2 linked regions of the Bombyx mori genome follow. The protein of the gene in region 1 interacts with the protein of each later gene in a pairwise test. Links are inferred from orthologs where the notes say so. Each region holds a gene or a part of one and is shown in the gene's direction. Other genes may lie near its edges.

The links.
Region 2: the proteins of mothers against decapentaplegic homolog 4 (region 1) and LIM domain transcription factor LMO4 interact in binary tests that used the Homo sapiens proteins (3 or more experiments, as listed by UniProt). The link is inferred for Bombyx mori from reciprocal best matches to the Homo sapiens genes SMAD4 and LMO4.

The regions. Positions count from the first base shown.
Region 1 is NC_085113.1:9,088,001-9,091,759, reverse strand, and holds the start of mothers against decapentaplegic homolog 4, read left to right. Parts: upstream 1-1,318; 5' UTR 1,319-1,476; intron 1,477-2,128; 5' UTR 2,129-2,130; coding exon 2,131-2,367; intron 2,368-2,785; coding exon 2,786-2,960; intron 2,961-3,724; coding exon 3,725-3,759. UniProt on the Homo sapiens protein: In muscle physiology, plays a central role in the balance between atrophy and hypertrophy. When recruited by MSTN, promotes atrophy response via phosphorylated SMAD2/4.
Region 2 is NC_085110.1:5,592,615-5,596,373, reverse strand, and holds the start of LIM domain transcription factor LMO4, read left to right. Parts: upstream 1-998; 5' UTR 999-1,234; intron 1,235-3,759. UniProt on the Homo sapiens protein: Transcription cofactor. Plays a role in establishing motor neuron identity, in concert with MNX1, acting, at least in part, to disrupt LDB1-LHX3 complexes thereby negatively modulating interneuron genes in motor neurons.

The DNA.
Region 1 (3,759 bases):
ATCATCTGCGAAACTTGTCGATTTTGCGGGCATGACACAAATAACATTCCAATAATTACGAACGGAAACCACCCACTTTACTGACACACACTAAATTGACGTATTTGGTTTTTGTTATTTATAAAGTACGCAATGTATGTATGGTTTTAAACTAAATTTTACGTAAATGAAGGTATTTTTATAAGTTTTTGTTAGATTCGTTGAAACTAAAATTGAGAATTTGACAAAAACTGCTGTCATCGCCCAACTCGACAGATGTGTGACGTTTCGTTCCTTCGTTAGAAGTAATAGTGTTCTGTGTTTCGTTCTCAATAAGTTGGAATCACTGTTGGAACTTTCATAAATTACAATGAAGCAACTTAATCAAAGTCATTAGAATTTAAATTCTGCAAACGCACATAAAAGTTTAAGCTTTGTTAACATTATTATATGTGAACTTAGTTTATATTTAAACTTTAAAAACTAATTAATCACTAGATTATCAAAGCTGAAGCTACATATTTTACGTGACTAATTAGTAGAAAGAAAAAGTGAAAATTTTATGATCCTAGAAATGAAAATTGAGCCTACACTCCTTGTTCGCGAGAAACTTTTTATTACTATTTAAGTTGCAGTAGAGTAGACTGACAAGGACTGCTTTTAAATTTCGTTTGAAGAAACTTTTGAAGTCAGATTGAGTCCTAAGTGTGCTTTTTATGACCTACCTAACGAAATTGTTGACAAAGATGAGGTCCCATGGCAAACTTTGCATAGGTCTGCGCTAAAAAGATATAACAGATTGGAAATCAAGAAGATTTAAGGAAAAAACTTAAGAAAATTTGTGAATGATATGATAATAAATTCCATAAATTGAGCCATATGATATGTAATCTGTTACTCTGTTACGTGAATTTGACGTGGGAACTACAGATTGTAAAGGCTTCTGTTAATTTAATGTGAGAGGCTGTAGTGCGATTAGTGGGAATGATTTATTTCTCATTAAAGTATTGTATCGGGAGTTATGTATCGGACGCTAGGAATATTTTTCAGATTAGTTCGCAGATACTAATTCCGAACAAAAACATTCGGACCGCCGCGCCTGTTTACCCAGCAATTTTACCCACTCGGTGCAATGTAAAATACTTCCAAAGTATCATACGCTATTGAAATTTATCTGTTACGATTTCCGGTGCTTTGCATGCGACAACTCTAAATTAGTGCCAAGCTTATATTTAATGATTGAATGTTTATAAGTGTGCCCAATATATTTTTTTATCTCGTCTATGAGTTTTGGTTGTTTTAGTTATTTGCCTTTGCCTATCTAGGTGAATGAAAAATATCCAAAAGTTTATGATTATTCAAAATGTCGCTTTCTGTTTTGGTATCATGTCGCATTATAAAAAATTAGAAAAATTATTCAGCAATCAATGAATTACGACTTATTAATAGTCTGCTTTTGAAAATTTAAAAGGAAGGATATACCATAAGAAGTTTCAGGTAATCTTAAATTTATAATATTTCAAGTTCATGATCACGGTGCGAGTTAAACAGCTAATAATTCGATTTTGGAACTGTATTTTGAGTTAATCTTATTTTAATTGATGCATAAAATTATTGGGCCATATATGTATACCTTAGGTAATTTAGTTAAGTATCTAAACACTTAAAGTTAAAAGTAGCTTCATAAATGAAGTAAAAAAAGCTCAAGTTCTTAGAATTCCTTTGATATTGGATGCCTCATTATAGTGTAATTACTTTAAAGTTATCACTAACGTGTATTGATTTAATACTTATGTGAAAATTCGTGAACTACTTTGGTGTGAAACTAAACCATTCCATTACACCTGAGTAAATAGCAGTTTTTTAAAAATGTTATTTGAACTTAATTTGTGTGTATTAATGTAGCAAATTCTACTAAATTAAAATAACCTAAACATATTATTTATTATGTTAAATTATTTACATTATATTCTTTTATAAATATTTCTTTTAAAAAGATAGATGCATTGTACAATAAATAAACCAACAATTTAATGCATAAATAATGTATACATACATATATCTATAAATAATGTATAAGGTATATAACAAATAAAACCATGTTAGGAAACAGAATAACATGGTTTTATGTCTATTGTCTTCATTGTAGCCATGAATACGACAGCACCAACATCGGCAGATGCATGCCTCAGCATTGTGCATTCACTGATGTGCCACCGTCAAGGTGGTGAGAGCGAAGGATTTTCTAAACGAGCCATTGAATCTCTGGTCAAGAAGTTGAAAGAAAAACGAGATGAGCTTGACTCTTTGATCACAGCTATAACTACAAATGGTGCACATCCTAGTAAATGTGTTACTATACAGAGGACTTTAGATGGGAGATTACAGGTAGTTTATAAATTTATGTCATCATTTAAAATCAATTTTACAATTTTCATGGTCATTAGCATTCAATTATTATAATCCAATAATTCATTACAATGATATTGATGTTAAATGTTCTACTCGCCAGCAAAATTAGTGAAAATCCAAGAGAATAGTATTATAAATCTGGTAAAACTGAAAGTCTAGAATAATATTAATCATTAAAGTCTAAACATAATGAAACTCATTAAAGTGCTCAAATAAAAAACTCATACAAAACACAAAAATAGGCAGATTTCTTAATTTATGAAATTATCTATGCTTAGTACTTTAAACAAATTAAAAAAAATAGCATCAAATTTATGTTACAAAAAAAAAACCTAATTTTAATTAACTGTTCATATTTAGGTTGCAAAAGGCTCATAAAACTTTTTCTATTTAGGTTGCTGGTCGGAAAGGATTTCCTCATGTAATTTATGCTCGAATATGGAGGTGGCCAGATTTACATAAAAATGAACTGAAACATGTTAAATTTTGTCAATTTGCATTTGATTTAAAGTGTGACTCTGTGTGTGTTAATCCATACCACTATGAAAGAGTTGTTTCTCCTGGTATAGGTAAGTATACTATTACATATTTTAATTACATTGTCATTCTGTTCCTGTTGTGAATGTCTATCTCAATATGAGTATTGGTGCAGTCAACTCTGAAATAATGTCCAAATAAAATATCAATTCAGTGTTATGTAGAATAATAATGGGATTATAAGAAATAAAAATGTTAAAATTAAAATTTATTTTCTACAAGTAGGTACATTGGATAAATTTGAAGGATTTGAAGAGTTTCCAACATAGCCTCTTCTCACTGGGGGTTTCATCCATTTTGTAACATAGTTACACAAACTTATGTACTTGCCACATTTTCATGAACAACTGGGATGAAAGAATAACATTGTACTAAAAATAAAACCTACAACTTACAAGTTTGTATTGTTTATTAAGGCAAAATATGAGCCTGGAAAGGTAGTTGTTACCTATTTCTGCCATGAAGCAGTTTCTTTCACCTCATATCTCAGGTTGGGTAGCGGAATTCACATTGTGATGTGTGGCCTTTGGTATCTACTTAACACAATGTGAGCCATTACCTTGTTCATCAATCAATGCAATAGATGTATAAATTAAATTTCAGTGGTAATGTAAAGTATGAGTTTCTCACCATCATTATCAACCTATAAACATCAACTGGGCATACGCCTGGCCAAGATGAAAGAGTGAATATTAAATTTATTTTTAACCAGGATGTTATTTGTAACAAGTTTATTATTCCTCTTTAAGAAATTATACTTGTATAGATCAGCCTTTATAGTAAGGAGTATTTCCAGATTTATCCGGCTTGTCCCTTCAATCTGGACCCAGT
Region 2 (3,759 bases), on another chromosome or scaffold:
GTTGGATCCGCCTACTGACCTCTCTCTCGAAGTTGCAGTGGCCCTTACCAGCTGGCGATCACAGTATGCTGGTACAATACTCACCTAATACTACAGCAGCCTAGAGGAAGCCAGGGGATCTTGTAGTCCCTTTTGGCGTTACTCACGGGTAAAAACGGTGTGGATATACAGCGGCTAAACGGTGTCCAGATAATAATAATTGCTTTCGTATTTATATCTAACAAAATTTACGTATTAAGCAGACTTCGGTTCCGGCGATCCAAACAGAGACAAAAATAAAGGTTTGAATACACTATAGGGTGAGTTGAATTCCACTTCTCTGCAAGAGCGTATTCTGCAAGAGCTCCTCAACACATTCGTTGTTTTCGTTTCATAAATTTATAATGACGAGTCACTAGGACGGTTTGCGGTAATCTTTTTGGCATATTTTAATATCTTGTTCGATGTAACGATGAGTTCGTCCTGATCGATGCATCAGTTGCGTTGGATTCAACCTTCTTCCGCCTTTCGAAGTAAGTCGATTAGAAGAGGAATCTAAATTCAATTTGCGAAGAAGTAGATTTAGAAGTAGTAGTAACTGTATTGGCTTGAGTCACGCACTCATCTTTAGCTAGGTGTGAAGACAGAAAATATTGAGATTGTATTTGCCAAACTGATGAACGAACTTACGAAGTGAAATAGATTTTTATACAGAATTTCAATAAATATTCGAAATATTGGTATCGGCATAAGGTTCCGCTAATCGTTCATGCAGCGGCCAATTTCGGCGTGAATGATTCGCCGGCGGGTGCTTTTGTGTCTTGTTCCCGATTCTAATTGAAACTATTTTGGACATAGGACAATGCGGCATTGTCCGCGTGTCCGACGGTGTTTGCTGCCTTTATTAATTCAGGTGGGCGTGGTCGCGTGTGGGCGGGTCGCGAGGCGGGGCGTGTAGTTTGGATCGTCCCAGCGGCGCAGGCCGAGCGCCGGCCGACTCTGAGGCCGCGTCGGTCCTCAGTCGCTCACTTGGTGCGACGTCTGGCACTCATCTTTGCGACGAGATCGCACTAACTTTTCCACATTGTTTACGAGTTGCTTTCGCACTATTTGCGATTCGATAAAACTTCACGAACGAAATATCTTAAGTTGACAGTGGTGTGTGACTTCGCTGTTCGTGGTCAGCCGACTGAAGGCGGTGTAGTCTTCTTTTACCAACTTTGACAAATCTTTCACCGCCCCACGTACACGCCAAGTAAGTTCAAAACATTTTTATTTATTTATGTGGATCAAAGGTGTGTCTGCGTTTTTTATATGATACAAAGATTTTCAGATGTGACAAAAGATTATTATGTAACAAAATTCTTCCAAATAATAAATAAGCACTTAATAGAAATTTCAACGTATGTAATATTTAAAAAAAAATTGTTTGATTATTTTTCTATAACTGTAATATGTTATTGAGTGTTTCAATAAAATTATCATTTTTTTTTTTCATTTTAATCAATTACATAAGTGTGTAAATCAGAGGAAAAAATATATTTTAATGTGATGAAGAAATCATATTAGTTGTTACACAAATAAAAAAAACTAATTTGTTTTCCAAAAAAATTTGTAAATTGGTACTAAACATTAATGATAAATTACATACATCGTTGATTAAAACTAGTTTTGTGTTGAGATAAAATACTGGCTTCGTTTAAAATTCATCACGTCGGAGTTCTGTTGGTTTAAAAGACTTGTACTTTAAATAATAAATTGATTCGAGTCATGATAATGCAAGATTTATACGCATTTTTAATAAGGTTATTAATTTTTTAAATTTCATAGTTTTCGAAATAAGAAGCATTAAAAGAATCATCGAATTTTCATCTTTTAAATATATCGTACCTGCTTATTGATTTATTTTTAAATTAAAAAAATCCTATTGAAATTTTGAAAATTTGTGATATTGTAAAATTGTGTGAGTTACCTCAAGAAATTGTATTTTTAAGGATATTCAAGACGAAGGACACAATTTCATTAAATCATCGAAAAACTATAGTCTAGAGATCGATAATTATTATTATTAAAACGATTTTAAAAATAAGTTTATGCTTCTCATATAGAGAAATAATTTCCCGTCTATTTCATTAAATCATGAAAACTGTACAGTTGCTGTTATTAATGATTGAGTTTGTGGTCATCGATCGATGAGCACGGAAGACTTCATATTTTTTCCAATCAAATACGCATTTAATTCTTGTTCACCAATCACTTCTACGATGACAAAATAACATTGTGTAATAAAAGTTAAAATTTGGGAGCCTGCACGGGTTGCTATCACCACCCTAGCGATTTCTATAGCGAAACAGTAATACGTTTAGACTTTAAGGATGAAATAGTCGCTATACTTCATTAAGATCGTGCCTCAAGGTGGGTGATAACCAATAACCACTTAACACCAGGGGCATTGCAAGTTCACCCATCTATATTTTTTTATTTTATTAAGGCGAACAAAAAACGAATTGATCAAAGCTGAAACTACGGTTTTGAAAAAGCTTATGCTATTTGAAAACAGATCCTAGCAAGCATTACGTTTGTAACTGAACCTTCTATGTGGGGTTTAGTATAAGCAATAATATCACGAGTATTACCTTCAATCACCACGACATATTAAATATAAGCAATAATATTACCTTCACTCGTCGCGAAATCTTACTAAAAGCACGATGTATTGAAAAGTCAATTGGAACTGTCGTCAGCATAAATTAGAGGCAATTCAAACTGAAACAAATCAGTCGTCATTGGTGCCGTAATGTTTTCCTGTCGGCTGATAAAAATGTCCGCCCGCCTAAACCGTGTACCGCTCTAGCGGCGTCGCGACGCTCCCTGGAGTTCGAGCTAGGGTTGCAATTCAGCAAATCATTAAAAAAATCACAACACCAAAAATTTCATTAGAATTAAGACATTTTTTATATTAATATACTTTATGGTGGCAGAGAATCTTTCCCAATCCAAATTATTGAATATGATTCGTGGTTTTAAACGAAAAAGAATTGGTACAGAATAATTTACGCTTGAATCTTCTATCATAAGGAATAATATTAAACATCTCTGTTTGCCTCAATATTCCCGACGTTCAAATCATAACAGCCACTTTTTTTAATCAATATTTATATAGCGGACTTCAAAAGTGCATACATAGACCGTGTATTAAAAATGGTATGAGCCCATTTTTAAAGACATCTAGGATAGTTGCCTAGGCATAAAATATCAATACGTGTTCAAAAGAAACAATAAATCTCTATATAAGTATATAAAAATGAATTGCTGCTCGTTAGTCTCGCTAAAACTCGAGAACGGCTGGACCGATTTGGTTAATTTTGGTCTTGAATTATTTGTGGAAGTCCAGAGAAGGTTTAAATGTAGATAAATATGAAAATTCTCGGAATTAAATAAAAATAACAAATTTAGTTTTTCCTTTGATGTGTGTGTCACTTCGGACGGATTCCTTTTGTTTGTTTTAGGTATATTTTATACAAAAGTTTAAAGTACTTAAATTATTGCCGGGTCAGCTAGTATGTAAGTACTTTTTTTGTCTTAGTTTTTATAATCTTAGTATAGAGATTATTTTAAGAACGTTTTGTGTTCAATACAAAGTGACAGCCCTGCGGAAATCATCGCTGACAAAGTCGGTTCCGTTTTATTGGCCCGCGATCTTTTTATGGCAATCGGCGGATCGTTTTTCCATTTCGATTGGGATACTTCGACTCTGCGGTCTCACTCCACAGATTTTTT